Tamandua tetradactyla: one gene and its partners. The protein of the gene in region 1 purifies or fractionates together with the protein of each later gene. This does not show direct contact. Links are inferred from orthologs where the notes say so. Each region holds a gene or a part of one and is shown in the gene's direction. Other genes may lie near its edges.

Region 1 (11,178 bases):
TTCTGCACAACATTTTTTTATTAGACAACTTTTCTGATTAAAAAAAAAGATGAGATTCGATTCCTGGACATGCACCAAAAAAAAAAAAGATAATGAGAGAGAGAAAATGGTGACTATATGTATAGATCTACCTTTTGCAGGAGTTTTCCAGAAAGGGTAGCAGGAAATTGGGGCAGAAGCTAAAGGGGAGGGGGTGTTTAAAGAATCAAAATAGAAAGAATGAAAAGAGACTTTCATTAAAGAATTGACAGGATGCATCTTATTCTTTGTTTTCTAATGCTCAGCAGAATTTGGGGAATCCTGTATTCTTCAAAATAATATCTAAACTGAACATTTCCATCATGGTCATGACTCCACATCCAGGCAAAACTATACCTGATCCATTCTTTGAGTCATTCAGTAAACACATACAAGCTACATATTAAAAGGCAGCATTTTAAGTGCTAAGGATGGATAAGAAAGGCAGGTTCCCTGCACTGCAGATAATCAGTACCTGCTGGACAAGACAGATAAGTAAATCACTATAGCGTAATGTGAAATACCTCATAAAATAGGTATGAATCAAAGATATGGGAGCCTAGAGCAAAGAGATGCTTCTTTTTAGATACCAAAGAATTCACAGAGCTAACATTTGAGAAAATTCATCAGAAGACTGCAAGAAAGGAAGGTGCAAAGCCAACACATGGTACACTTGCCAGAGCTGTGTATTTTAGAATGCACTGGAAGATGGTAAGGGTAGACTTTAGGGAGGGGTAGGGGCAGATCATAGAGAAACGTATGCTATGTGAGGTGGGTATAAATTTTACTCTGTGCAAGAAGTGTCACATAATTTTTCTAAAGTCAAATTAAATATGACCTCTGACCACCCCCCAACCTATCTATCTGATGGGAAACTCAACTACAGTCATTATTATGGGTTCCCCTGCCCTGTCCCTCACCCCCAGACTACAGAATAGTCCTGGAATCTTGGTCCCACCAAGCAGTGCTATGTCTCCTCTGCCCTTCTGTAGTGTGGAGACCTTGACTTTGCTGGACACCTAGGATCTAAGGCCTAGCCTCAAAAGGTACATCGATCATCCCTTCCCAAAAGAAGTTTGCCCACTTCCCTGAAAGTGCCTATTACCTAAGGAAAACCAATTCACATCTCTTCTATGATCTTAAGATATTTTCCCCATCCTACGGGCTTTCTGAACCTCTCTTCCAAGACAAACAAACAAAAAAACATTCACCAATCCCTATCCTCTGCAATTACCTACCATGAGCACTAAAATGTTATTGGCCTGGGATTTTGTGCCCTAGGAAACATTTGGCAAGGTCTGGAGACTTTTTCCATTGCACAGTTGTAGAAATTTGGTGGGTAGAAGCCTGGAGTGCTGCAAAGCATCCCATGTGCTCAAGGCAGCCCCTACAAGAAAGAAATAATTATCTAGCCCAAAACGTTAATAGTGCTGAGACTGCAAAACCATGCTGTAAACTATATATTAAATTGAAAATATACAACTTGAGAAGTAGAAATATTTAGCTGATTTTTAAAAAATAATTCAGTATTCCTTGATTGAAACTGGAAACTTGATGCATTTTTCTAAACTAAAATGACAAACGCAGTATTATTATTACTGTATTGCTGTGTGCAATCCAAGAAATCAGGCTTGATTGTGCCAAATAGAAACAATATTCAGTTTTATTGATTTTCATAACCAAAAATCATTTTGCAGAAATAGAAATATTTCTTAAAAGGGATAGATTCTAAGCACAGTGGATTTTTATTCAGGGCAATGATTCTCAACTTATTAGATCCAAAATCGGCTTTTTAAATAAAATATTTTGTAATGCTCCTTTCCTAGTTTATAAACATAATTTTAAATATACTTAATTCCCAAGTTGTAATATAGTTCAGAAAAAAAAGGAAAGAATAAATAAATATACATTTAAGTATGTGAATGTTTGGGCACCACTGGATCAAAAATATAATAAAATAGATACTTGTATCTACTCCTAATAAAGGTGTTCAGATGTAAGACAAGATAACTAATTGAATGTTGTCAGCACCTCTAATTTATATGCAGTATTTTGAATAAGAGTTAAGTATGTATATATATACTTATTATTATTTATATATTTACTTACATAGCATATATTAGGTAAGATATATTAGATGATTATATATGTGTGTGTTTATGTGTATGGGAACGTGTCTGTGTGTGGGTGTATATATATATATGTGTGTATATATGTATATATATATATATATATATATATACACACACACCATATAAGTATGCTGCATTGTTAACCTAAACAGTGTGCATACTGTTGCTATGATGACATGATATTCTGAAATAGGGAACAACCCTTATAAAAAATTCCAAATAAAGCACAGTCTTCCCTCTATTTACCCATTAGTTGCATTCCTGGAAAATTCTGTGCTTATTAAAATTGTGGGAAAAAATTGTGTTTATATGTAAAACCAAGTTAGTTTCCATATTCACATAATCATAAACAGGTTTCCCTCCATATGAATGTCTGTTAAGACATTCAAAATTCGTGTAGAACAAGGGATATATGTTCATTGCACAAGACTTTCCCACCTTATATCACCCAGTCCACCTCCCAATTAGTGTGACAGGCAAAAAAATACCCACACAAATTTCCAAATGCTCCCCAGGGGTAAAATGGGAGGTGGAATAGAGGGCTTAGTGGATTGAATTAGGTACCCCAATTCAGACATGTGCTTAATCTGCATTCCTGTGAGTATGAAACTATTGCAAATAGGACCCTTAAGAAATATTTTTAGTTAAGGTGTGGCCCAACTGAATCGGGGTTGATCTCAATCCACATAGGAGGCCTTATAAAGAGAAGAAATCAGATGCAGGATTAGAGAGCGCCACAGGGAGAAGCCAGAAGTCAGCAGAAACAGGAAGTGCCAACAGAAAAAAGCACATCTCCATTTGATGGGAGGCAGGGATACACGCCAAGGAACCCCAAGGACTGCCAGAAGTCAGAACCAGAATGTATAGGGTTCAGCAAAAAAGCAAGTCTTGCCAACATCTTGATTTGGAACTTCTTCTAGCCTCAAAACCATAAGCCAATAAATTCCTGTTGTTAAGCCAAAACCGCTTCATGGTATTTGTGACAGCAGCTCTGGCAAACTGAGACAGAGTGTTGTTAGAACACTGTTGTTAAGCAGTGACTTAGGGCAGGGATCAGCAAACTCTTTCTGTAAAGGGCCAGACAGTAAGTATGTTAGGTATTGTCGGCCAAGATGCAAAACAAAGGCTATTGTGTAGCCATATAAATGTCAAGAAAGAAAACAAATTTCTACAAGGTTTTTTTAGAAAATTCAAAATACAGCAGTGGCATCTCATTACAATTTTTTTGTAATATAGGTCTACTAATGAGAACAGTGGGATCCATTTGGGAGATGTGCTGGATTGAATAATGTTCCCCCCAAAAAAGGAATTATGTCCATCCGAAACTTCAGATTGTGACCTTATTTAGAAATAGGGTCTTGCAGATATAATTAGCTAAAAGGAGGTCGCACTGGATTAGGATGGACCCTAAATTCAAAATAACTGGTGTGCTCATGAGAACAGGGAAATGTAGACACAGACACACAGATAAAGAATGGAAGCAGAAATTGAAATGCCACAGCTGCAAGCAAGAAATTCCAAGGATTGCTACCAAACATCAGAGTAGGAAGAGCTAAGGAAGAATTCTTCCCTACAAGTTTCAAAGGGACCATAGCCCTGAGGTCATCTTGACTTTGGACTACCAGCCATCAGAACTGAGACTAAATTTCTGTTGTTTTAAGCCACCAATCTGTGGAACTTTGCTACAACAGCTCTAGGAATTTTCTGGACAATTTATACTAGATTGGATTAAGTTCTGTGCCCTGATGAAATATTGCCACATTAAGCTTATGTTTCATAAGTTATGTTAACACTGATTGACACCTGCAGGAGTCCCATCTATAGTCATACTTATCAATTCTGACCAGTCTACTCTAAAATCCTCAAGACTTTTAACCGTCCACGAAAACACACTGTCTCCTAATGTTGTGCCTTTCTTGGCCACCATCTCTAAAGATTTTTAGTCACGTCAAAATTCTTAACACAGATAGCTTTTATATATTTATTCTCTTATCAGCTGCAATGGAAAATACCAAAAATAATTCAGTTTTTCATGAAATTATCCTGCAAGTTGTAAGCCATTTATCCAACATTCTGAGCAATAGGATTTTTCGTTATTGCATTTGAAAATGCTAGTTTCTATTTAGGGCCTGATCTTCCTGTTGCTTTCAATAAATATTACTTGTAAGCATGCCTTCTGTAAAAAGTTTCAGTTGCCTGGGCAGTTATTTTTCACTTAATATGCAACAATTTCAAGACAGCAATCTTTATTTAAAAACAAATCCTATTGACATTTTGGTTCTCTTTATTTCCATTCATTAAGTTTATCATAATGCATCTTTTCCATATATCAGTTATAATCCTTCCTTAATTTCTTTCAAAATGGCTTCTAAAGTTGCCTATTTTGTTCCAGTACACTTTTCATGTTAAAGAGGTAGGGCTACTCTTTATCTTCTCAATCAAACATGCTTTAATGTTAATTTTTGGAAACATACAAACCTTCTCCCTGTCTTTCATTTTCCCACTTTCAATATTATTTTCTGACCAGAAATTTCCAGAGTCTTCTTTAAGCTCCAGATCCTTGCTGCTTCAGCCACCCTTCTAGGCCAACTTTTCACCAGCCTCCTTCACTGCTCCTCTCCTATCCCATCCCATCATTTCCTTTTTCCCACTCTTCCCTCCCCTATTCTACCTCTTTCCTTTCCTTCTCTCTCCTGCCTTGCTTTCCCTTTCCTCTCTCACTTCTCCCCTCCAGCCTTTCCTTGTCCTCTTCATTCCCTTCTCTTCTCCACTCTCCCCATTCCACTGAGAATTGAGCAAATCCCATCTAAATCTACATCCACATCTGTTTCTACCAGTTTCCCTAAGCTTTGATTCCTCAGATGTGAAACACTGGTGTTGACAAAAATAGTACTTAACTCACACAGTTGCTTTGAGAATTAAATAAGATATTCATATGTGGCTATCTATTTAATCACCTAATCCTCAGTAAAGGGCTCAGTGACTTGTTATTTATTCTTTTTCTTTCTCACACTTTCTCTCCCTTTTTACCTAGGCTTAGGGTGCAGAGGAGAAAAAAAATTCCAGGGGTACAGTCTACAGCAGCAGCATGGTGACTTTCAAAGGAAAAGGCCCTCTTTAGTCCCAATGCTGCCATTTAGATGACAATTAAATTATGTTATTTACCTTCACCACACATTCATGTTTCTGACCAATCTAGAGTTTGTGGTCATAGGCGAAACTGTCTGTAGGATCCCGCAAAATCAACACTATTTTCTGACGCAAAACAAACGGTTTGCTTCTCATGACTTTGTTCTATTTGCAAACGTAGTATTTCCTTCAGTTCTCACGTAGGAAAATATCAAGTATTGCAAAAGACGAAATATTCCTTCTTTACAAAATTTAACTAAGAGAAGAATTGCATTCTACTACAGGGAACAGATTCTTCATAAAACTCTGAGTCCAACAAGGAAGTCACATAAAGAAGTACTACATAAAATATGGCTATGGACCACTAATTTTGACGGTAAGTACAGAAATCAAAAATGTTTAGAAAACTTTACCAGCACTCTGGTATTATCCAAACATCCATACGCCTGATCAGTGGACTCATTCAACAGAGCATAGAGCAATTGAGATGTGGTCAAAAGCTTATCTATACGAAGTCCAAAATATGGAAACATCAAATGTGTGAACATACAGCCCTTTGTACATTTCTCAGATGGAGAATTGTAAAGTCCAAAATATGGAAACATCAAATGTGTGGACATACAGCACTTTGTACATTTCTCAGATGGAGAATTGTGAAACACTTCAATTTTGCACCTTCCTTATCAACCCTGTGTCGCTCAGCGCTCAACCAAGGGAGCCCTGCCACCTCTTGGTTGAAGATGTTGACTACTGCAACAACGAGCAAAGAGCATCAACGCGATCCTTTCAGATCGGACAATAAATTGCCCTTTGCTCGGGCAACCCTTTTCAGATGCGTTAGGATCCAGCTCCGTACCCTCGTCCTCCACCCCATCACGTTAAGCACGTTTTGAACGATTGGATTGGTAGGGGGAATTGTAAGAAAAACAAGTTCTTTCTGACTCTTTAAATAGCGCTTCCAGCCCTTAGCAAAAAGGATAGCAAAAAAAAAAAAAAAAAAAAAAAGTCACGGAAGACGCTCAGTAAATGCATTTCGAATGAATCATTTTCTACATTATTTTAAAGGGAGAATCATGGGGGATTCGAACCTCTCTATGGGGAAATCACACATTTTCATTCGAAAGACAAAAGGATTAAGTGGGGCTGTTGATTTTGATATCCTAAGTTTTCCTCGTATTTACAGGCGGACGAAAGTCTCCGGGACTCCCTATATTCAAATATCCAACTCCAGCAAATATTCCACTGGAGGGAGGGACGGACGGATGCCGCAGGCAAACTACAATTCCCAGCATGCTCAGGGGCGGTCCGGCGACTGCGCAGATGGGCGCACGCGCGCTGTCATGTGACTGCAGCATGGCGGTGTTTGCAGATTTGGATGTTCGAGCGGGTTCCGACTTGAAGGCTCTGCGGGGGGTGATAGAGAACGCCGCTCACCGTGAGTCTCCCGAGTTTCCCAGGCCTCCTTCAGGTCTTCCAGGGTTTCTGGAAGGTCCCAAGAAGTTGATGCCCGCCGCGGTCTTATTCTGATCCCAGACCCGTGGAACACTAAGGAACTAGGGAAGAATGTCACTAGTTCAGCTCCTTTTATTCTGCAGGTTGGGGAACCCTTGGCCTAGAGGGGACTAGAGATTTGTTTAGGTCCTCACGGCTGAAAGGGATGGCCGAAGTTAGGGCTAGACTCCAAATGTTCAGTTTCCCAAGCTAGTGCTTTGAACATCACTCCTCCCTGCCTCTCACGACAATGTCTGAGCAAATGCGGGAATCGAGTACGTAGAGTGCTTGGGGGCTCAGAGAAGGGGGAGAATATAGAGGTGCGTGTGTTTGAATAATGTTATTTATTTAGAAGGGGGGTTAGGTAGAGGAGGGGGACACACTAGGCAGCACAACCAAAAGGTGGAAGTGTTGCAAATATTTGAATTGAAGAGAAGCGAAGGTCCTGAGTGATGAGGACTAATTATTGGGGCTAAGCATGGCTTCTAACTTCTTAGACTGTAAAGTGAGGGGATAGAGAACTTAGAAGATAGAGATTCCTTCATTAAGACCTTTCCCTCAGAGAAAGTTCTCAGCTTGTTGTGAGAATTGATAACTGATACTTCTCAGAAATGGTGCTGGATAAATTCACTCCCTGGCAAAAAGAATCACCGCGTTTCTTCTTGCCTTCCCCGTCACCCCCCACACCCCCATGAGGCATCCTTAAATCATTTTTCTTTCCTTTGCAACACAGTCTAGTAATGTCGGCCTGGGGTCTGCTTTCCTCATCAGTAGAAAAAGGGATTGTGCATGATGATATGGGTCTTTTAACACTTATATTCTTTGATGATTCTTTACTTGAATGTAGCTCAACTCAAGTCTTTCTTTCCTGATGCAGCCTCTTACTGACTACACCATGAGCTTCTTCAGAGAGGGGCCATAGTCTTATTCTTCAATATATTTCCTGGGCACAACAGTTACTCAGCAGCACTGGCTCATGGCAGGTTCTCAGTTAATGCTTATGGAATAAAAGACTGAACATTTTTTAGAGATAAATACAGAAAAGAAAAATTAAAATGGTTTGTTTAACAAGTTACTTGAATTAAAAATATGTTTGAAGGATATATGGTAAAGTATTGACATTGTTAGTCAATCTGTTTCTTTAAAATTAAGCAGAATTCATGACATAAAACAGAAAGTTACCACACCTTATATAAGTCAGAAGGCAAAGCACTGTTATTTGATGGGTGGAAAATTTTCAAAGAATGTAGAAAACAGAGTCCCTGTTTTTAGTTTGCGATGTGATAAGAAACTAGTGATTAACTTCAGAGATATGCTATCTAAATAATAATTATGCTAAAGACTACTTAGGGAAGTATTCCTAAGTTACCAGATAAGTAGAAAAAGTTTTCTGAAGAAACAGAATCTAGTTGAGATTTCTGAAGGGCAGTAGGGATATTATTTGGTGGCCAACAATATAAAGGATATCCAAGTGGGGTACAAGAGGTTAGAGTAGACTTTGGAGTGAGTAGAGAAGAATAGTTAAGAAGTGGAGCAGGTTGATTTGACTAACTGGGAGAAAGTAGAGGCCAAAGTATGACAAATTTCTCTTCCCCTCAGGTGTTTACTTTTAAAGATCATTTTCTTCCTGGGCCTTTTTCTGACCCCCTACACCTGGCTTCATTTTGCTGTATGCTGGATTCCTATAGAATCTTTACTTTCATTAACAAAATGCTTTTTTTTTTTTTTTTTTTTTGCAGCTCCTTGTTTAATTGCCTTATTTCCCCCAATAGAGTGTAAGCTTCTTGAGGGTGAGGATTGTATTGTTTTATTTACCCTGTGCGCTCAGCACCTAGCAGGGGGCCTGGCAGGTGGTGGATGCTCAGTAAACATCTGAAGGAGGAAGAGAAGGAAGAAGGAAGGGAAGAAGTGGAGGGAGGGAGGAAGGAAAGAAGGCAGGAGTGTAGACAGACTGGTGAGAGAGAAGACCCCTATTTTTCATTAATAGGCATTATCTTTTAATATTTGTGCCATCATCCCCATTAAGGTTTAAGTGCCTTAAAAATAGAAGTCATAATTTAGACATATGTTTGGTAGCCGGATGTTCAGAACGGTGTCAATTGGATGAGAATGATAAAGTAAGCGCCTGGCCTCAAGAAAATCTTTTGATGGTGGGCAGCTCAAATGGGAAGTAGATGGTGGTGTGAGGAAGTTAGTACTTCATTTCTCTTTAGGAGAGAGGCTTTTGAAGGATATAGGATCAGAAGCAAAAGAAATGAGTGAAAAGATAGGTGAGAGAGAAAAAGTATTAATAGAATGAAAATGAACAAAGGGGAATGAAAGAGAATGATGGTTGGAAAGGAGAAGCACAAAATAGAGAGTCTTTAGTATCTTGCTAATCATATAAAGCTAGACCTCTTCTAAAGTACCTCAAATGTGTTAGCTCATTTAATTCTCATGAAAGTTGTATGACCTAAGTCCTGCCATCTCCATTTGACAGATGAAGAATTGAAACTTACAGTTAAATAATTCTAAGTGGTAGCACTTGGATTTGAAACTAGACAATCTGAGACCAGAGTCTGCACATCACTCTGCTAAAACAGGATGGGCCTGTATGTACAGAAAGGAGTTATGTTTAACAAGAATCTTTAATTTTTTTTTTTCAGTTGGCTATTCAGTTGTTGCCATCAATCATGTTGTTGACTTTAAGGAAAAGAAACAGGTAAAATACAATTTCTGAGCTTAATAAACCAATGTTTATAGTTACTTGTGTTTATATTGGTAATATGGATGCTACAAATGAACATACTTCTTAAATGCACTCTCTGTGTGCAGTATTCTCTTGTATGTTAACAGTTGTGAATTGATGCTTACTGTGCAAATGATAAATATTTTTGTGAAGAACTGCGTGCTGTAAGGATTCTTAAAGTTGATTCAACATTAAATAAGTCACTTTGATTACCATTTTAAAGGTGCCTATTGACTGAATTTGTAATCACGATATTTAGTCCTTTCTATTTTTTTGTAGGAAATTGAAAAACCAGTAGCTGTTTCTGAACTCTTCACAACTTTGCCAATTGTACAGGTAAGTGTTTTAGTGTGAACAAAGCATAATTCCTGTTCATTTAATTTAGACATACCCAATTATGTGTGCTTTCTGTAATCTGGATTGTACCTTCCTTTGCCTAGCTACCTTACTTTTCCATCAAATCTCAGCTCTTCTGTGAAGTATTCTCTTATCATCCCTGGTACTTCTTTGGGATCTTATCCCTTGAAATTAAACAACTTTCAGGTTATCTCTGTTATGGTTTAATGTATGTGCATCTCTGCTTCTGTAGTTATATATAAATTCCTTGATGACAATGACTAGTTAGTTTTGCTTTTGTTTTCTGTTTTGGGGGTTGGGTTTATTTGTTTTTTTGATCTTCAGTGTCCCTTATAGCTGATACTTTGTAATGAATACTTTGTGATGATAAAGAGGAAAGCCAACCAGTGGTATTTTGAGCTGCTTTTGATGGTCCACTTTTACTTATAGGGAAAATCAAGACCAATTAAAATTTTAACTAGACTGACAATTATTGTTTCGGATCCATCTCACTGCAAGGTTTTGGTAAGTTCATTTTTTTCCTTCTCTCTTTTTGGTCCTGCAAGTTTTATTGATTAATGTTGAACAGTGTAGCTTTTCATCTCACACCATACTGACATCTTCCCCACCCCTTCCCATAATACTGACTCCTCCCCCATCCTCAGATTTCTCTTAGTTCTACTCATCGTACCTGTATAGTGATACCATGATCAAAGAATCCTTTGGCAAATCCTGTTCATTCAGTTCACATGTACCAGGCATAAGGCTGAATGCTGAGCATGATACTATGAATAGTATATATGACCTTTGAACTTATGAAGCTCACAACTTAATTGGCAAGAAAAGCACTGAGCAAATAATAATGACAAATGTAAGTAAGGTTTAGAAGGGGGGTTGGTAAATAAAAGATGCTGTGGGAGTGTGTAACAAGGTGGCCATCTTGATATTCTTCTTGAGGAAGTTGATATTCAAGCTGAGGCCTGAAGAACCATTGTTACATGGGTGACAAGTTGGAGAGGTAGTGTTCTCACACAGAGGATGGATTGTGCAAGGGTCCTGAAGTCGAAAGGATCGTGGTATGTTCTGGGATGTAAAACAGGGCCAATTGGGCTGAGCCTAGTGAGCTGGCTAGCCTGAAGTGAGGTTAGAGAAGTATGGGTGAGGATTCCAGGTTCAGTGGGAAGCCCCTGATGGTTTTAACCAAGAGAGTAAAATGATGAGATTTGCACTATAGAAAAAAGGATCAGAGATTTAAGGAGGAATTTTGAGAGTCATCCAGTAGGGAGGATTGTCGGGATTTGGTGATTGATTGGATGGAGGTGTTGACTGAACCACCAGGTAGGT
Region 2 (9,645 bases), on another chromosome or scaffold:
GCATTCCTGAGGCATCTCCTCTCCTCAGGCCTGCCTTTCCTGGACTGCAGTGCCTGGCTGGGGAGATGGTACACACAGCAGGGTGGCTGTCCTGTCCTGTGGCAGCAGGACAGTGGAACTGATAATCCACAGTGCCCAGCTCCTGGCAGATCTGCTACATACCGCACCCCGTGGGTTCGCCACTGAGGGCACCCTGCTGGGCAACTGCTCCCAGTGCCCCGTGGCTCTTCATAGTGCATGGATGGCTCCGGCTCCCTGGAGGCGCTGCTGCACCACTCAGGGAGGTTTCCCCAGCCAGAAGGCTAGAGTGGAGGGACGGTCGTTTCCTTCTGATCTGCACTTCCCCATGCACTGGTGTGTACTCTGGACTCGGCCAAACAGACCCACCTTGCTCTCCCTGTGTTGACCCTGCTTCCCCTCCTCCCCATGAAACTCTGAAAACCTTCTTCAATCACTTTCCAGTCCTGGTCATTCTTTCTCCATCCCCTATCTTGTCCCATGGAGCAGGGGTGAATTAAATCCACCCAACTCTGCCATCTTCCTGCAATCCCAGTAATGTCTTTTTTTTTTTTCTTTTTTAACTTTTTTGTTGTATAGTATAACATATACACAAAACAAAGAAATAAAAAAGCAGTAGTTTTCAAAGCACTCTTCAACAAGTAGTTACAGGACAGATCCCAGAGTTTGTCATGGGCTACCACACAATCTTCTCAGATTTTTCCTTCTAGCTGCTCCAGAATATAGGAGGCTAGAAGGCTTAAATATTTTTTTATCACCACAATGAACTTTTTTTCTTTCTTTTTTTGTGAAAAATAACATACATACAAAAAAGCAATAAATTTCAAAGCACAGCACAATTAGTTGTAGAACATATTGCAGAGTTTGACATGGGTTACAGTTCCACAATTTTAAGTTTTTTACTTCTAGCTGCTCTAAGATACTGGAGACTAAAAGAATATCAATTTAATGATTCAGCAATCGTATTCATTTGTTAAATCCTATCTTCTCTGTATAAGTCCACCATCACCTTTGATCTTTCTATCCCTCTCTTTAGGAGTGTTTGGGCTTTGGCCATTCTAACTTTTTCATGTTGGAAGAGGCTGTCACTAATATGGGGTAGGGAGATGGAATTAGCTGATGTTCTGGAGAGGCTGGACCCTGTAGGTTTCAGGACTTTTCTGGTCCAGGGACCCATCTGGAGGTTGTAGGTTTCTGGAAAGTTACACCAGTGCATGGAACCCTTTTTGAAATCTTATATATTGCCCTAGGTGTTCTTTAGGATTGGCTGGAATGATCCTGGTTGGGGTTTGGCAGGTTATGATAGGTAGCAATGTCTAACTGAAGCTTGCGTAAGAGTAACATCCAGAGTATCCTCTCATCTCTATTTGAACTCTGTCTGCCACTGATACTTTATTAGTTACACTTCTTTTCCCACTTTTGGTCAGGATGGAATTGTTGATCCCACAGTGCCAGGGCCAGATTCATCCCTGGGAGTCATCTCCCACATTGACGGAGAGACTTTCACCCTTGGATGTCATGTCCCACATAGCGGGGAGGGCAATGATTTCATTTGCAGAGTTGGGCTTAGAGAGAGTAAGGCCACATCTGAGCAACAAAAGAGGTCCTCCACAAGTAACTCTTAGGCATACCTACAGGTAGGCTAAACTTTTCCACTACCTACATAAGCTTCACAAGAGTAAGCCTCAAGATCAAGGGCATGGCCTATTGATTTGGGTGTCCCTATAGTTTGACACGGTAGCAGGGGATTTCCTGCTGGTAAAGTTTAATAGTTGCATATTTTTGCTCACATTCCTCAAGGTACTTTGTCAATAGTTTTTGATGATCTGTTTAATATACTCTAGAATGTATCCAGGCATTACATTAAGCTATACAGGATTAAAGGACCTCTTTCTTATTCTGTGCTCCCTGTGTTTGACTTGTTCAAATGAGCTATACAGATAGGTTGAGTTAGATTATGTGCTACAGAAAATTTGGGTTCCAGACCAAATAAACCTTTCTTCCTTTGGTCTCAAAGAGTATTTGTGATTCTAAAATAAAAACACTTAATCCCAACCTGATTGGCTTCATTCTTATCTCTAAATATCAGGTTATTTATATCCAGTAAATTTATATCCAGTAAATATTTTTAAAAATATTTACTTGCTTCTTTGTATTGCCTTCTTTGATTCCCCTTTTCTTTCCTTATATCTATATTTAGTTATTTTCATAATGGTAAAATTGTCATTTCCATTAACTTCTTAACTAATAACCACCTAGTTTGACTAGTACTAACCTAGTCTCAGACATATATAAACTCTCTATTCCTATATATATTCATCGCTTCCCCTTTATATGTTATGCAGATTACATCTTTTTACACTGTGTGCCCATCAACCTAGATTTTAAATATTTTTTTTTACACATTTGACTGTTAAATCATATAGAGGAGGATAAAAGCACTTATAAACCAAAAGTACAATAATACAGGATTTTATATTAACCTAGGCAGTTACCTTAGGAATGTTCCTTATTTCTTCTTATGGCTTAGAGTTACTGTCTAGTGTCCTTTTATTTCAGACTGAAAGACTTCCTTTACAATTCTTGTAGGGCAGATCTTATGGTAATGAACACTTTTAGCTTTTGTTTATCTGTAAATGTCTTGATTTCTTCTTCATTTTTGAGGGATAATTTGCCGAATTTAGAGTTCTTAGTTGACAGTTTTTTTCTTTAAAGACTTTAAGTATGTCGTCTGGCCTCTATGGGTTCTTTTGTGGGGGATGGTGCATGGTCGAGAAATAGAACTCAGGTCTCCCACATGAAAGGCAAGCATTCTACCACCAAACCACCTGTGTACCCCCTCCATGGTTTCTGCTGAGAAATTCACTGTTTATCTTATTGGGGACCCCTTGTATGTGACAAGTTGCTTTTCTCTTGCTGCTTTTGAAATTCTCTTTTTGTCTTTGGATTTTGACAATTACACTGTAATTTTTCTTGGTGTAGAGCTCTTAAAGTTCATCCTGCTTGGAGTTTGTTGAGCTTCCTTGATGTGTATATTCATGTCTTTTATCAGATTTGGGAAGTTTTTGGCGATTATTTGTTCAAATACTTTTTCTGCCCCTTTCTCTCTCCCTTGTCCTTCTGACACTCTAAGGATGTATACGTTGGTATACTTGATATCACACAGATACCTCACGCTCTGTTCATTTTTCTTGATTATTTTTCCTTCCTGCTGTTCACACTGGACACTTTCAGTTGTCTTCTTTGCAAGTTTGCTGATCTTTTTTCTGCCTGTTCAAATCTGCTACTCAATCAGTCTACTGAGTTTTTCATTTCCATTACTGTACTTTGTAGCTCCAAAATTTGTTTGCTTCCTTTTTATAATTTTCATTTCTTTATTTTGTCAGACATTTTCATAATTTCCTTTAGTTCTTTGTATATGGATTCCTTTTATTCATTGAACATGTTTAAGACCGTTGATTTAAAGTCTGTGACTAGTCATTCTAATGTATGAGCTTCCTCATTATGGTTTCTTACAAATTTTTTTTCCTGTGAATGGGCCATACTTTCATCTTTCTTTGTAATTTTTATTGAGAACTAGACATGCTGAGAATTATGTTTTTTAACTCTAGAAATCTAGTTCTCCCACTCCTCTGTGATTGCTAGGTTTTTTGTTTGGTTTTGTTGTTGAGGGCTGGAACCATCAGTTTGTGACTTTTCCAAACTATTTTTGCTTCCAAATGAGGAATGGAAAAAGACAAGAGAAAAAAAAAAGATACTGCCTCTTTAAAAGCCCTCTGCTGCTTTTGCTTTGAGGAAGGATGGAACAATAGCTGTCTTCAAAGCCAGTTCCCCAGCAATCTGAAGTAGCTGATCCAAAGCAGTGAGCAGTGATCAAACCACCACCACCACCACCACCACCACCCCAGGCTTTGGAGGACTTAGTCCTTATATCCTTCATGGCACTATTAAGCTGCACCAGGAGCCTGGGCTTTAGTCCCCAGTACTGCCTGCCACATGATTGGGGGATGGGAGATAGTAGATACTGCATGGATGGTGAAAGTCACAGATATTTACCAGCTTCTTCCTCTGGCTGTTTCCTAAAATAATTGATTCAGATAGTTCCTGCCAGCTCAGTATTTGTTTTGGGCATGGGGGAGGCAGAGTGTTGGGAATGGTTATTGGTCTTTTTTACTACACCATCTTCGTATAATCCTCCCCATCCTTCTCTTCCCTTGGCAATTTGTTCCTTCATTCTGGGGTTAAGCATCACATTTTCTGGGCTGTATGGGGAGTGGGGGTCTCTGGTGAGCAGGAAGTAGGAGGTGGGGTTTTTGCCTAACTCCATTCTTTGCCCCTCCCTGGCCCCGCAGGACCAGTGTATGGAGATCACTGAGGAGTCCAAGGCTCTCCTGGAGGAATACAACAAGATTGTATCCTTTCTGCTCAACCAGGCCCCTAATGGGTTCTGTCCCCAAGCCCCATCCTTTTGTCCCACATCAATTCTCTCAGCCCTTCCCAACCAGCCTGTCTATTCCCCTGTTCCCCCACCCCACCCATTTTGGCTCACAAGAAGTCTCTCCAATCCCTCATTTAAATTCCTGTTCTTTTCACCTTGACTTGTGTGTGAACAGACAATGCTTCTCTCCAAGCAATTTGTGCAGTGGGATGAGTTGCTTTGCCAGCTAGAGGCTGCCAAGCAAGTGAAACCGGTGGAGGAATGATACTGCTCCCCATCCCAGGATGGCCAGGCTCCAAGGCCCTGTTCCAGCTGCCTCTGTAGCTGTGCAGAGGCAGCTTTCTATATTTATTGGACCTACAACCACCTGTTCACACTCAGGTGGGGCTCTGAGGCCAGAGATCAGGGGTTACCTGGGATTTGCAATTTGCACCACCCCCCAGTCAGTGCCCTCATTTCAGTGACAATAAACTATAAATACCAATGGGAGTGTGCTGGCTTTTGTTCTAGCATGGGGGTGGTGGAGCGCAGAGCTGACAACCAGCCTAGTGGTTGGACTGGGAACTACACTCATCTTGGTCTGTCTTTCAAGGAGGTGTGGAGCTCTCACAGTGGAGGCTCCCATTTGATTCTTATGAGTGGCACATTCTTTTATGCATCTATTTATCCTATGTCTAAGCACCAACTAAATGCCAGACCCCATACATGGTGGGAAGGAAGCAGGTAGAACCCATTTAGGGGAGAAGCCAGCCAAGGAAAAAAGCAGTCACACCAGATGGTCACAGGGTCGTTTGGTCCAAAAGAGGCTAATAGGGGAGGCAGGCCTGGTGGGTGATAGGCTATGATTTTGAGAGCCAAGGAAGCAGTATGTATAAAGGCAGAGAGGTGCCTTGAAGTTTCTTTCCTGGGAACCTACTTGGTGCTATTAGTTGAGAAGGGGAGCCCCAGAAGAGATGGAAGGTTTGGATATCGAGAGTTTTAGGTTCTGGGGAAAGGGAATTGGGAAGGAGATGGGGGAACGTGATGAGAAACAGCAGGGAGAGACTGAGCTCTGTACCAAACTCCAAAAAGTGTTTGCTGCCCCCTTGTGGTCTCAAAGAGTACTCTGGCTTCAGACCCCTTTCCAACTGCCTGCCTGCCACCCCACCTACGCGGGTTCATTAGCCTCAAATTCAGCCTGTCAAAACTGGTCTAAAACCTGAGAATCATCCTAGACTCTTCCTTCCTTCCTTCGTTTCTTCCTTCCTTCCTTCCTTCCTTCCTGTCTATCCAAACAGTCGCCAACTTTCTACTGAATACCTCTTCTGTATCTCCCAACCTAGTCTACTTCTCTTCATTTCCACTGCCATTTCTATTTCATTCATTCAACAAATCATTTAAAAAATAACGGAGCGTCTGGTTAGCCGCTGGCCACGGTAACAAGCTCCATGACACGGCCCCGGGACCCCGCGGCCAAAGGTTACCAGCGGTTGCGGCTCGATTTCCCCCACCAACCTCTTCTCTGTGGCTACAGTGAGCTGTGCACACGACCTGGTTCAACTGGCCCGTGTTGAAAACCCCTCCGTGGCTCGCCAGTTCCCACAGGATGAGGTTGAAATTCAGAACTCAGTAATCAAGTGTCTTGCCTGTGCAGCAGCAGCCACTTCCAACTAAACCTTTTGCTCCCTTTGCTATTGCCGTGTCCGTTAACTGCAGTTTTCCCATCTTCCAAAGGTTAATCCTCCCCATGCTTCAGACTCTGAACTCCTCTGAAGGCCGTCCCTTCTATCCACAAGGCTCTTTCCTCCTCACCGTCCCACCTGTGGGAGTGCCTCTGCCCAGGGCGTGGCAGCGGATACCTTGCGCCTGCACCCAGTCCCGGGCGTCCTAGCTCTGCTCAGTCTGGGTGTTCTGAATGGTTCTCAGTTGCCACTGCAGAGAGGCCGGGCGGGCCGCGTTGCCTCCGGCCCCGCCCCCGAGCGGCGTGCGCGGCCCCGCAATTTCGGCGCGCTCCCGGACCGCGCGCCATCTTAGCTCTGGACCCGGCGTGTGGGGCGCTGCGGCGCGGTGAGAGTTGGGACCTGGTGGGGTGGGGGGCGCCTGGACGTGGAGGTGGAGAGAAGGGAGGGCAGGCGGGTTTCTCAACGGCTGCGGCCCTCGGGGTACTGGGAGCGGCTTGGCGGCGAAGGACACTGTTGAGACCGGCCAGGCCACCGGTTGACGTCAAGAACACGCTAAGCAGCCGCCGGTGTCGAACCTCTGCTCCTTGAGTGACCTGAGCTGAGAGAGATCGACCCTGGGAATCTTGGGGTCGGGGATGTCCCGCCTTGTGCAGGGGAGCCCCGAGTGGAGAGGTCGGTTCTCTTCTTGGGGGGCCCTAGGTGAGGACTCTTGGCTCTGGCGTGCGGAGAGGGAACTTGACAAGGACGCGGGGGCCGGGCCCTGTGCCTAGGATCCCAGAATGAGGACACCAGTCCCAGGCTTAGGGAGCTTGGGATGTGGGTGCTTGATGCTATCTCAGGGGCTCCAGAATGGGGGCGGGGATGGGGACGGTATGGCTTTGTCCGGAGGAAAAGGGAACAGGAAGTATAGGGTACAGTCCATCCTAGAGTGAGGCAGACATGGTCCATGTCCTGAGATGCTGAGGATGAAGTAATATGGTCCTGTCTCCTGGAAGTCTAGGGTGAGGAGTAGGGCTGTGTCCTGGAGAGTCAGGGTGGGGGATGACCTGGGACACACTGCCTAGCACTCATATTTGATACTTCCCTGCAGTGTGCAGCAAGAGTCGCAGACGTGATCAAGCAGTATGGAGCACTACCGGAAAGCTGGCTCTGTGGAGCTCCCAGTGTCTTCCCCAATGCCTCAGCTACCTCCTGATACCTTGGAGATGCGGGTCCGAGATGGCAGCAAAATCCGCAACCTGCTGGGACTGGCACTGGGTCAGCTGGAAGGCGGCAGCACCCGGCATGTGGTGTTCTCAGGTTCTGGCCGAGCTGCAGGGAAGGCTGTCAGCTGCGCTGAGATTGTCAAGCGTCGGGTACCAGGCCTGCACCAGCTCACCAAGCTACTCTTCCTGCAGACTGAGGACAGTTGGGTCCCAGCCTCACCCAACACAGGCCTAGACCCCCTCACAGTGCGCCGCCACGTGCCTGCAGTGTGGGTACTGCTTAGCCGGGACCCTCTGGACCCCAATGAGTATGGCTACCAGCCCCCAGGGGCACCCCCTGGCCTGGGCTCCACACCCAGTTCCAGCTATGGCCCCCGACCCCGAAGAAGGGCTCGAGACACCCGATCCTGAGGACATGCTGAGCCAGGCTGTTTTCCAAGCCTCAGTTTCTGGGATGGCTGTGCCTTCTTCCAGAATCCTTTCCAGTTGCTCAACATCTCCAACAAGACTTGGATCCACAGAAGTGGCTTTGCTGTCCTTCCTCTGCCGCCTGAAATATGATAAGGGTTTGCTATAAAGAGTAACAGGTGTTAGGTCTGGATTCTGGATTACTTAAGAAGGGCCCATGCTGCTTTCCACCTATAGTGCCTCTGCTCTGCCTTTTGGACAGCGATCCAGGGAGTGAGTTAGGAAATAAAGGTTCTGCCCATTTGTCTGATGAGCCATTGCTCAGCCTGATGTGTGGAGGTGGAATTGGGGGAATGGATGCCCTTGCCTTCTGGGAGCTCATGGGCTGGAGACAGATATAATAGGCTCAGGCTTGTGTGGGGATGGTCTAGAATCTATGAGAAACTTAATAAGCCTGAATATATCTAGGCTTCTGGGTGACTGCCTGCCACCTGCTTTGGGTTGGTTTAGGGACTCTCCCTCAGGTCAGACACTTTTCTATCTGCGGACATATCTTATGGAACTTAGGCACCAGGCTGCTGGGATTTGAATCCTGGCTCAACCACTTAATTGTTTTGTGACCTTGGGCAAGTTACTGTTCTGAGCCTTAGTATTCTCTTCTGCAAAATGAGATTTAGTGCTTATCTCATAGAGTTTTTATTGTTTTTTTAAAAATGTTTTTGAGATATCTTCATATATGTACAATCCATCCAAAATATGTAGTGGGTTACAATATCATCACATAGTTGTGTATTCATCACGATGATCATTTTAAAAATATTTGCATCACAACAGAAAAAAAAATAAAAAGGAAAAGCCCATACATCCCATACCCCTTATCCCTCCCTCTCATTGACCACTAGTATTGCAATGTACCGCAATTTTTTTTTATCCCTTATACATCCCCCTCACATTTATTTTTTTGTCCCTTTTTTTTTTTACTCATCTCTCCATACTCTGGTAAAGGGAAGTGTCAACCACAAGGTTTTCACAATCACATAGTCACATTGTAAAAGCTATATAGTTGTACAGTCATCGAGAATCAAGGCTACTGGAACAGTAGTTCAACAGTTTCAGATATTTCCCCCCAGCCATTCCAATATACCACAGATTAAAAAGAGATATCTATATAACACATATGAATAGCCTCCAGGATAACCTCTTGACTCTGAAATCTCTCAGCCATTGAAATTTTATTTTGTCTCATTTCTCTCTTCCCCCTTTTGGTCAAGAAGGCTGTCTCAATTCCATGATACCGGGTTCTGGCTCATCTCCAGAAGTCATGTTCCATATTGCCAGTGAGATTTATACCTCTGGGAGCCTTTTCCAACAGAGGGGAGAGGGCAGTGATTTCACCTACTGAGTTGGCTTAGAGAGAGAGGGGCCACATCTGAGCAACAAAAGAGTTCTTGGCGGGTGACTTTTAGTTCTAATTATAAGTAGGCTTAGCTTCTTTGGAGGAATAAATTCCATAAGGGCATGCCCCAAGATGAAGGGCTTGGCCTGTTAATAGTCCCCACTGCTTGCAAGAATATCAGCAATTCTCCAGATAGGGAAGTTTAATATTTCCTCCTTTCTCCCCAGTTCCCTAAGGGGGCTTTGCAAATACTTTTTAATTCTCTGCCCAAATTACTCTGGGATGTATCAGGGTATCACACTAATCTGTACAAACCAGCAAGATCTCACACCCAATTCAGGATTCCCTGTAATTCCTCATAGGGTTTTTATGAGGATTAAATGAAGTAATATACACATTAGATACCACCTGAACACATGGTACCCTATAGATGTTAATTGCCATTATTAATGACTCAGTCTATAAACATACTTTTTCCTATCTTAAAACACTTCAATACACATCCCCCTCCGGGTCTGA
Region 3 (11,122 bases), on another chromosome or scaffold:
TATGGTATGTAAGGATTTTTTCTTTTTTCCTTTTATTTCTTTTTCTGGATTGATGTAGATTTTCTGACAAATGATCATGTGATGAACATACAACTATGTGATGATATTGTGAGCCACTGATTGCAAACCAAGTATGGGATGTTCATACGTTAAGAATGTTTGTGTTGTATGTTGATTGATTTTATTAATAAAAATTAAAAAGAAAAAAAGAACAACATAAGGTGGAGAACACAGAGGTATAGGAACATAATTTGTGTATTCTACTGAAGTTAAGTTTTTATCAAATCAAACAAGATTGTTTTAGATTTAGGATATTAAACTTACACCCCATGGTGACCACAAAGAAAATATCTGAAAAATATACTAAACAGAAAAAGAGAAGAAATTCTAACTGGCTTGCTATGGAGGTCAAATAAATACAAAAGTAGGCAATAATGGAAGTTTTCAAGATCTTAAAAGTATAACAGAAAAGAAATAAATATCAAAATGGCAGAAGTCCTGCATTATCAGTAGTTAATCCATGAAAATGAGCTAAATTCTCTAGTCAAAAGGCAGAGATTGACAGAATAGATTGAAAAACATAACCCAACTACATGTTGTTTACAAGATACACATGTTAAATTCTAAGACACAAATAAGTTGAAAGTGAAAGGAAGCAGAAAAAATGGCACAGAAATAGTAACCAGAAGAGAGTTGGGGTAAATACCAATATCAAACAAAATAGCCTTTGAGTCAAAAACTGTTATGAGGTAAAAAATATATATATAATGATAAAAGAGTCAATTCATTAGGAAGATATAACAATTACAAATATTTATGCACCTAATTACACAGCCCAAAAGTAAATGAAGCCAACACTGACAAAATAAATCACATGTAATGAATGCAGCCTTTACCACTTAATCAGAGGGATGTAAAAGGAGCATATGTGATAGGAGATATTATATTTAGGACAGTTGATTTAACATCTTTGACTCATAATTCCAATGTCTGACCTTCAATAGGGAAGTTTTCTGTCATTTTGTTTTGTTACTTTAACTGGGTCATCTTTTCCTGTTTCTTTATATGTACTGTGATTTTTTTGTTGAAATCTGTATACCTGAACATTTTGATGCATTAACTCTGTTAACTCTGGAAGTCAGATCAGGCATTCATAACTGTAAATTTCTCTTTGAGCAATGCCTTCACTGTATTCCATAAGTTCTGGTATGTTGTGTTTTTACTTTCATTTGTCTCAAGATACTTCCTAATTTCCTTTGTGATTTTTTTATTGGACCCATTGATTGTTTAATACTGTGTTGTTGAATTTCCACATATATGTGAATTTTTCCAGTTTTCCTTCTGTTATTAATGCCTAGCTTCATTCCATTGTGGTCAGAGAAGATACTTTGTGCAGTTTAAATATTTCAAAATTTACTGAGACTTATTTTGCAGCCTAACATGTTCTATACTGAAGAATGACAGTGCAGTTGGGAAGAATTTACATTTTGCTGTTATTGGGTAGCATGTTCTATATAGGTCTAGTAGATCTACTAGACTTATAGTGTTTAAGTCCTCCATTTCCTTACTGATCTTCTGTCTGGATGTTATCTGTTACTGAGAGTGGCATATTGCAGTCTCCAGCTATTATTGTAGAATCATCTATTTCTACCTCCAATCCAAAGTCTAAACAAACGAGCACTTATTAAACCATTCCTGTTATTATGCCTGTGGAAAAATACAATCTATTTTTTTTTTCCAAGTAGTAGACTTAAAATAAAATATTGGGAATATGATCTGTTGTAAGTTAGGAGCATATCCCTGAAAAAGAGATTTAGAAACATGATAGAGGAACATTCTGCTAAGCCCTAGCTCCATTCCCCCATACTAAACAAATATTTACCTAGCACTTTATATCTGTCAGACACTACCTATCTTAGGTAACTCATTATGAAGCAAAGTTGCAGCCTTCATGAAGCTTACATTCTAATAGAGGAAGGGGGGAGATAGCAAATACATAATTAAATAAGCATGCTGATTTCAAATCATGACAACTGTCTAAAGAAGCACATTTTTGGCAGAGAGGGGTGGGGCTACACAGTAGAGGCGGTGATAGAAATCTCTCAGAGGAGGTAACATCTGTACTGAGACCTAGAGAAAAACAAGGACAAAGACCCCGAGAAAAGGATAAGGGGTCTACCCTGCACATTTGAGGGGTCAGGAGCACTGTGGAGGAAAGATGGAATGGTAGATGAGGCCAGTGAGGTAGGCAGAGGCTGAGTTATCTAAGCTTTTATTCTATGACAATGTGAAGCCAATTGCAGGGTTTAAACAGGGGGCTGGTGTGATAAAAAGCATGTGGTAGCTTAGAGTTATGTACCCCAGAAAAACATTTTCTGACTTTTAATCCTTTCCTGTAGATGGACCCCATTGTAAACAGGAGTTTTGATGGGGTTACTTCATTTAAGTTGTGGCCCAAATGAATCAAGATGGGTCTTAATTCTATTACTGGAGTCCTTATAGAGATGGAGTCCTTATAGAGAAGGCCACAGAGAGAGAAGCCAGAAGGTGGAAGGCAACAGAGTCAGAAGGATAAAGGAAAAGACACTGTCACTTGCGTTGGCATGTGATAGAAAAGTCAAAGGACCCCAAAGATTGCCAGCCAGCCGAAAGATAATGATCTCCAACGGAAGCAAGCTTTCTAACCTCTAAAACCATAAGCCAATCCATTTGTTCTAGCAAGCAGAAAACTAAAACGTGTTCTCAAAAGACCACTATGATGCTGAGTCAACAGCATGAGGGGAAGCAGGGAGATGTGTTAGAGGCTGTGTTTAGCACTAGACCACTAAGAGATGAAAGTGGCTGAAGCTAGTTCTGGAAATGGACACAGGGAGAAGAGGTTGTAATCAAGATGAATTTTGCAGGAAGACCCAACAAGACCTGTTCTGTGGATTGTATGTGGGGTGATAAGGAAAGAAGAGTCAAGGATGGGTTCTGGGTGCGCGGTTCTGAGTGCACCTTCTTAGGGGAGAGAATGAAGCACCCTCGGGTTTTATCAACATATGGACAGTTTTCAAGGTTGTGAGATTGTGTGGCATCACTCTGAGAACAGAGGTAGACAGAAGAGAAAAAAGGGCTGAGATATCCAGAGATCTGGTGGAGGAGGAAGGGCAGAAGGAAGAAGAGTGGAGGAAGTGGAGGGTAGCCAGGAGAAAGGGGTCTCTTGAAATTCCAGAGCAGTGTTTCAAGAAGGAGGAAGTGGGACAACTGTATCATCTGCGTCAATGCAGCTGAAAGGTTGTCTGAGACAATAACAAAACTTGACCATGGATTTGGCAAATTGGAGGTAACTGATGACCTCAATAAAAACCATTTCAGTGAAGTAGTGAGGAGGAAAGTTCTAGTGGAATGTGTTCAGAGAGAAGGTGAGGGGAGGTAGCTTGAGAAACAGTATGGTAAATGGAAAGGAATTGGGAGTGCAAGGAGGTCTGTTTCATTTAATGCACAACATGCAGATGGAAATGATCTAGTAAGGAAGGAGAAACGAACAATATTAGCAAGGGATCATATAGACACAGAACTATAGAACTCAGGGGACATAGCCTGAAAGGACTCCTCAGCCCCAAATATACTTAAGTGTACAGTTTTATCTTTAAAATAAATGGGACTTTTGCCTTCTCTTTCAGAATGCAGGCACAACCCACAAAACACATTCCCAATATTCCTGGACGAGTGTTTAGTGCCAAGCAGATATTTATCTCCCAATATATTATTCAGTTGATGCTTGTATAGATAAAACTTAAGAGAATATTTAAAATTAAATGGTTTGCTGGGAAAGTTTCATGTTGCATTCCAAATACAATTGGTAGAACATTCAAATCATGCTAGTCAATTTGCAAAGATTTGGAGACTCAAGAGAGAAGACATACCTCTCTGATGTTGCTGGTATAAATGAGGCCTGGCAACTGCACACAAAGCAACTGCTTATTAAAAAAACATAACGTGTTTTAGTTTGCACAAGCTGCTGGAATGCAATATGCCAGAAAAGCAATGGTTTTTAAAAAAGGAATTTATTAAGTTGAAAGTTTACAGTCTAAAGCCATAGAAATGTCTAAACAAAGGCATCCAGAAAAAGATACCCTAACTTCATTGAAAGAACAGATGAAGTTCAGGGTTTCTCCCTCAGCTAGGAAAGCACATGGTGATGTCTGCTAACTTTTTCTACTGGCTTCTTCATGCAGCTTCCCTGGGGAAAGTTTTCTTTATGCATCTCTGCCAGCACTAAAGCCTTTTCCAAAATGGTTTCCTCTTAAAAGGCTTCAGTGAGCAACCCCAGCTTGAATGGATGCAGACACATCTCCATGGAAACCACCTAAGCAAAATTTACCACCTACAATTGGGTGGACCACATGTCCATGGAAACAATAAAAAGGATCCCTCCCAGCAATACTGAATGAGGATTAAAGAACAATGGCTTTTCTGGGGTACACAATAGTTTCAAATCAGCACATAAGGCAATGAGGAAGCAATGCTTTAAACATTTCCTATCCTGACACGATATTATTTATAACATATCGTGGTGCCACACATGATTTGGGAAATTGGTTGGGGATTTTCATTGATTTGTTAGGCCTTACAATTTTTCCTACTTTAAGCAATGGGATATAGGTTCTCCTTGCCATTTTCTCTGGGAAAGTCTGATTTTTCAGGCACAGAGTACTGACCTTAATGGCAGATGACTTTCCAGGCTTGTCTTAGTTCTAACTTATTAATTACTCAGCTTGCCATTACTTAACATCTTTTCTTTCATCCCTTGTAGTAAAATGAATACTCTTGGAAGATGCACCACAGATATTGTTTTGCAAAGAATCTGGGCTGTGCACACTGCAGCTTGAGCAATATGTAGTAGCTGTAGTCATGTAGAACTTGGAGTTAATTAGAAAAATGAAATGGAGAATGGCAGAATTATCAGTGTAATCATCAATAGTTACACATTATTAGAAGTGTTTAGAAAGAGTAGGATAAAACTCTGAGACATACTGCAAGAGGGAAATGCAGGATGGGCTTGTTATCATATATACTTCAAACTACAGTGGGTGTTCCTAACATTTTTGAAAGGATCAACAGAAACTCTTGACCCTGTTCATGTGTTATTTATAGCTAAGAGATACACAACAGGATAATGAGGTGTGAGCCATACTGTGCCAGAAATGTGGCATGAGTGTGGTCACCCAAACAGGTTTGGAGGCCAATTAACTGTGCAGTGTTTCCTCAATTGTACAATTCAGTTGGACTTCCACTTTGAGTTCCCCACATTTTTTATGATAGTGGCACTGAGTAGCCTACCTAAGCAGGCCTGACCAGGGCATGAGTTTTTCTGTCAGCCTATCTCAGCCTGCAGCCAGCCAGATGTCCCAGACGTACATGGAAGGGATTTGTGTCCAGAGACATCAACCCAGAGGGATGGAGGAAAAAGTTGCTTATAATAGACAAGCTCCAATTCCCCAGTACAAGTATTTCCATTTAAGGCAGTGAATTTATGGTTCCAGAAACCCACCAGGGTGATTATGCATGGCTTCTTAAGAAACCTAAGGAACTTCCAGAAAGATCCCAGGTACTTTGGGCAGTAAAGAAAAAAGTATTTGCAAAGTCCCTTGAGACAGTGGAGGAAAAATGTTAGATTTCCCCATCTGGGGAATTCCTGATATTCTCTTAAGCATTAAGGGGTCCCAATTCAATAAGCCAAGCCCTTGATTTTGAGGCTTGCCCTTATGAAACTTATTTCTGTAATGGTAAGCTACGCCTACTTATAAACACACCCAAGAGTCACCCCAAGAGAACCTCTTTTGTTGCTCAGATGTGGCCTTTCTAAGTCAAACTCTGCAAATAAACTCACTACCCTCCCTGCTAATGGGACATGACTCCCAGGGGTATAAATCTCCCTGGCTAAATGGAACATGACTCTCAAGAATGAGCCTGGCTCTGGCATCATCGGATTGACAATGTCTTCTTGACCAAAAGGGGAAAAGAAAAAATAAAGTTTCAGTGTCTAAGAGATTTCAAATAGAGTTGAGAGGTCATGCTGGAGGTTAGTGTTACGCAAGCTTCAGCCAGTTATTGCAAATTGCCACAGTAGGCCAAGCCCCAACCAACAGTATGCCTGAAAACTCTAAAGAATACCCTAGGCTCTAAATTCCTTTTTTTTTTTCAGAATCTTAAAGCCCGCAGATAGTTTTTATGCTAGACAAGCCCTGAAATCCATAGCTACCAGTCTCTCTAAGAACATCAACCATTTCATTCCTCTATCCCGCAATGTCAACACTCCTTTTCAGCATGAAGAAGTTGGAATGGCCATTTCCAGATATTCCTGAAGATTGAGAGAACTATCAAATGAGAGGGAGGCATTGTAACCGAGAAAGGATTTAACAAATGATTATGACTACTAAGTCATTATGTAGCCATTTCTTTTTAGTTTCTAGTACATTAAAATAGCCAGAAGGAAATACCTGAAATTGTTAAATTGTAATCAGTAGCCTTGATCTTTGATGTCCCTATGACTACATAGCTTTTAGCTTATGACCATGTGAGTGCAAAAACCTTGTCACTGACACCCCCTTTATCCAGTGTAATGGTTGATGAGTAATAACACATGAAAAAAATAATAGGTTGCAAATATGTGGAAAAATACCTCTACATAAGCTATGGACAATAGTTAATATTACTTAAATCTCGCATCAATTCTAACAAATGTAACTACTGCAAAAAAAAAAAGCAATTACAAAAAAGCAGTATCATCAATTTCCAAACCAATACAAATGAAGTGGTGTATGAGAATCCTGTATTTTATACGTGATTACTCTGTAAACCCACAACGCTTTTAATTAAAGGGAAGGGGGGGAGGAGGGGACGGGAAGAGGCAGAAGAGCAGGGAGGGGAGGGAACCTAAGGAACACGTAGAAAGGTCCCAGGTACTTAGGCACTCAAGCTGCACCCACCCACAAGCTCTGCTCGCCACGTGCGCCGAGAGACCGCACTGCGCATGCCCGAGGAGGCGGGGCGGCGGGGTGGGGCGGTCCGACGACTCAGGCTAGTTAAGAGCCGTTCCGGAATCGCGGAGAGGATGGCCACCCTGCGCGGGATTCGAGAGGTGCCCCGGCACTTGCTGGTCTGCGAGAAATCCAACTTCCGCCACGAAAAGTCACGCCACCGGCACCTCGTGGAGACGCATTACCACAATTACAGGGTGAGTCGCTGACCCGGGCCTTCGGAATCCCCTCTCGATCTCCGTGGGCGGTGTGGTGGAGAGGCCACCGCGCTGGGCTGGGCGGTCCTGGGCGGGGCCGTCCTCGCGGTGCAGGCTGGGAGCCGTCGTTCCGTCGTCTCCTCGGAACCGCGTCTCGCTTGTCTGTGAAGACTACTACTCCCACGATGCCTTGGGCGTGGGGGGCGGGGCCGAGGAGCAGTGCGCGGCCTCACCCTCCCGCTCGTTGCTCAGGTCCCCACCGGCCCACGTGGAGTTGTGTTCCCCGAGATGCGAGGCGGTGGCCCGGGCGCCGGGGTAGGAGGGCGTGGTGTCGGCCGGGTGCCTCTGGTGCCCTTGCTTCATACCCCCGCCGCCGGAACGCTTATGGCTCTTTCCAGAACGTTGTGGCCAGCTCGGGCCCAGAAAGCAGCCTCTTTTTTTATCCGGGAGTCGGATTGAGATCCCAGAAACTTTCCGTTTAGCCTGCTGCGCTCTGCTTCCTCTAGCTAACATGTCATCCTCTCGGGGCGCCGTGAGGCATCAGGGAGGTGAATTATTGGCTTGTCCAGAATGTGCGGAGAGTAGAGGAGAGCGACCCAGATTTCCAAGCGAGTGTCTGGTGGGTCCTTTTCCACTAACCCGATGAAGCGGAGAGGCGGCCAAAAAGTCCACCAACCGTTAAAGAGGATAACGGTTTAAATATTTTACAGTTTAAATCGATCAATTTAATCTCTAGTGAGGCCTGACTGACCACTCAGAGACCTGAGTGGTGGCGCCCGGAACTGACTGGCGTTAGAGCTTTGGGAAAGAGCCTTTCAGCTTGTGGAGCGCTTGGGTGATGTTTGAAATCTGTCGAGTTTTAACATCCTCTCCTTTGGATGGAAAGAGCATCACAAACAGTATTGAGGGCGTGAATCCTAACACATAGGGTCTAATCTGTTGGCTTTTTCTGTTTGTGGAAAATCGAAACATGGAGGGACGCTTTACTTCCATGTAATCTTGATCATTGGACGGCCCCAAATCCTTATACCTTGAGGGTCATTGCCTTTGATTCCAGGATGCTATCAGGGTAAACAAATCAAGGAATGTGCAATTGTCCTGTATTTCCTCAAAAACGAATTAAAGTAATGAAAGGAACAGGACATAAAATACTTTGCAAAAGTTAAAATGCAAGCCATACCTTCGCGTTAAAAATTCTCTGCTCTGTCTCAATCCTATACTGTATGTTTGAATGCAGAAACAAAAACCCTGAATTGTCAAATATCTTTTTTTTCCCCTGAAATTGGTGATTTAAGAGTTTCATGCCCAGAAACCTATAAATGAGTAGTTAGCTTTCATGATGCAGTTTTTTTCCTTAAGAACCTGGGCATGACTGCATGAAAATAAGACCTTGTTTATATTATACTTTCTAATAGGTTTCATTTCTAATTCCTGAATGTGGGATACTATCAAAAGAACTTAAAAACCTGGTCATGGAAACTGGACCTTATTACTCTGTGAAGAATTTACCTCTTTATGAATTAATTACACATGAATTTATCAGCACCTTTGTAAAGAAAGGTAAGAAAACTATGCAGTGTTTGTGAACTTGGCAAAATGGAAACTACAGGTAGACCATGCCACAGTACTTGGGTTCTTCTCTTGTTTAATTCAGGCCCCTGGTGAAAGTGTATATAGCCAGATGCAGACATGACCCTACCCCCACCCCTGTATTTTCATCCTTTTGGAGAAGTTGTGGGTGTACAGAACAAATCATGCATTAAAAAAGCAATTCCCATATACCATCCTACTACTAACGCCTTGCCTTGGTGTGGTGTATTTGTTACAATTGATGGAAGCACATTTTTGTAATTGTACTATTAAGCTATAGTCAGTATTTTAATGTAAGGTTCACTGTGTAGTGCTATTTCATGGATTTTTAAAAAAATTTTTATTACTGTATTTACTACCTACTATTTCCCCTTTTAGCCACATTCAAGTATGTGTTTTGGTGCTGTTAATTATATTCACAGCATTGTGCTACCATCACCACCATCCATGACCCAAGTATTGCCATCATTTTAAGCCTTAACTCCTGTGGTGGTTTGAAGTTGTATGAATCCCAGAAAAACATGTTCTTAAATCTAATCCATTCCTTTGGGTATAAATCCATTGTAACTAGGACCTTTCGATGAGGTTACTTCAGTAAAAGCGTGACCCATCTCAATTCGAATACGTCTTGAATCCTATTACTGGAGTTCTTATAAATGGAATGAATTCATACATAAGAGAGAAAGGCATGGAAGCAAAAAGCTGAAGTCAGTGCAGCCTAAGAGAAGGGAGAGACCAGGAGACACTGCCATGTACCTTGCCACATGATGAGCTAAGGACCAACAGCCAGTGACAGCCAGGCCCAGAGTGCCACAGTGTTGGGGAGAAGGCATCACCTTGATGATGCCTTCATTTGAACATTTTCCTGGCCTCAGAACCATAAGCTAATAAATTCCCATTGTTTAAGCTGTCATTTCATGGTATTTGCTTAAGCAGCCTAGAAAACTAAAACAACTCCCTGTTCCCATCCCTGCCCTGACCTCTAGTAAACCTATAATGTAAATTCTGACTGTGATCACTTATTTCATATCAGTGGGATTATACAATATTTGTTCTTTTGTGTCTGGCTCATTTCACTCAACATCATGTCTTCAGGGTTCAACCATGTTGTCATATGTGTCAGGACTTCATTCTTTTTTATGATGTTCAGTTGTGTGTATATACCACATTTTGTTTATACATTCATCGGTTGATTGACACTTGGGTTGCTTCTGTGTGTGGCAATTATGAATAATGCTGCTATGAACATCAGTGTGAAAATATCTGTTTGAATCCCTTCTTTCCTCGCACTCTTGTGTCTTCTTAAGGTGGTGGGTTTTTTTGTTGTTGTTTTTTGAGCTACATCTGTCCACAAGTGTTGATGCAGATGTTATAACATGAAGGTATCGGGCCTCTTAAAACAAGGATCATTGGAGAAGGAAAGTCTTTTATTCTCACAGATCTGTTCAGACACGCTGCTCTTGGGGATGTGGCTAGAAAGACTGCTGTGCTTTCAGCAGGCCCTACCACAGCTGCTGTGGTTGGAAGGTTGGTCTCCTGGTGTGATCACAGCTGCTCTGCACAGAGCGAAGAGTTCCTTGTGAATGAGAATCTTCACTTAAAATGTTTATGGTTCTCACCTTCTGCTGCTTACTCCATTCCTAGTCATATCTCCTGGGTTGATTGATCTGTTCTGGTTGTTTCCTGGGCCCTGGTTCTGCCATTTGTTTGAAACTGTATTTCAGGGTGTCCCTAGGGTTTCTACCCTCACTATGTGAGTAATGCCAGTTCAGCTCCCAGTGTAGTAGCCAGTTACTTGTCTTATTGTTAACCCCTATGTTATCTCTCCAGGGGAGCTGTAATGAGTTCTAATTAGATGGCAGTGGTAGCTGCTGTCATTCTGAGCTGCAGGCATCTTTGGTCTCACAGACAAATCTAATCAATTTAACCTTCCCAACTACTGTGCAGAGTAAGCCTTATGATCCCCATTTGACAGGTGAGGAATCTGAAGCTTGGAGAGGTTGAGTAGCTTTCTTAACTTCACACAAGTTCCTGATAGATTTTGAGTCTTAACTTAGAATTCTGCCTCTAAAGTGTATATACTTAACTGATATTCTACCTTATGCTTCCCTCCCACTGTGCCCAATTGTATACAGTCCATTCTGAGTCCATTTTCTCTTGATAGTGAGTTTGCTCATACAGATCCTTGGCGGAGGAAAATGAACTAGCTGGAGCTTGGCCTTCCATGTCCCTCTTGACAGGTTTTAGGTTATTGAGTGAGCTACATCAGTAGCATACTGTTTTCCTTTCCTGGCTGCTAAAACAAATACC

What was found. Proteins that work in one complex are often made in the same cells at the same time.
Region 2: the proteins of RPP30 (region 1) and RPP25L purify together in Homo sapiens (co-immunoprecipitation; 3 studies listed by BioGRID and IntAct, counting the BioPlex papers as one, with this or other methods). This does not show direct contact. The link is inferred for Tamandua tetradactyla from reciprocal best matches to the Homo sapiens genes RPP30 and RPP25L.
Region 3: the proteins of RPP30 (region 1) and RPP40 purify together in Homo sapiens (affinity purification with mass spectrometry; 3 studies listed by BioGRID and IntAct, counting the BioPlex papers as one, with this or other methods). This does not show direct contact. The link is inferred for Tamandua tetradactyla from reciprocal best matches to the Homo sapiens genes RPP30 and RPP40.

Annotation. Positions count from the first base shown.
Region 1 is NC_135339.1:54,519,564-54,530,741, reverse strand, and holds the start of RPP30 (ribonuclease P protein subunit p30), read left to right. Parts: upstream 1-6,607; 5' UTR 6,608-6,632; coding exon 6,633-6,714; intron 6,715-9,415; coding exon 9,416-9,471; intron 9,472-9,777; coding exon 9,778-9,834; intron 9,835-10,284; coding exon 10,285-10,359; intron 10,360-11,178. UniProt on the Homo sapiens protein: Component of ribonuclease P, a ribonucleoprotein complex that generates mature tRNA molecules by cleaving their 5'-ends. Also a component of the MRP ribonuclease complex, which cleaves pre-rRNA sequences.
Region 2 is NC_135328.1:61,312,146-61,321,790, forward strand, and holds RPP25L (ribonuclease P protein subunit p25-like protein), read left to right. Parts: upstream 1-6,429; 5' UTR 6,430-6,502; intron 6,503-6,516; exon of another isoform or gene 6,517-6,816; intron 6,817-7,207; 5' UTR 7,208-7,241; coding exon 7,242-7,733; 3' UTR 7,734-8,043; downstream 8,044-9,645. Other genes in the region: DCTN3 (dynactin subunit 3), read left to right, coding at 4,371-4,430, 4,632-4,721. UniProt on the Homo sapiens protein: May be a component of ribonuclease P or MRP.
Region 3 is NC_135351.1:7,328,675-7,339,796, reverse strand, and holds the start of RPP40 (ribonuclease P protein subunit p40), read left to right. Parts: upstream 1-7,020; 5' UTR 7,021-7,099; coding exon 7,100-7,222; intron 7,223-7,452; exon of another isoform or gene 7,453-7,733; coding exon of another isoform or gene 7,734-7,841; intron 7,842-8,637; coding exon 8,638-8,782; intron 8,783-11,122. UniProt on the Homo sapiens protein: Component of ribonuclease P, a ribonucleoprotein complex that generates mature tRNA molecules by cleaving their 5'-ends. Also a component of the MRP ribonuclease complex, which cleaves pre-rRNA sequences.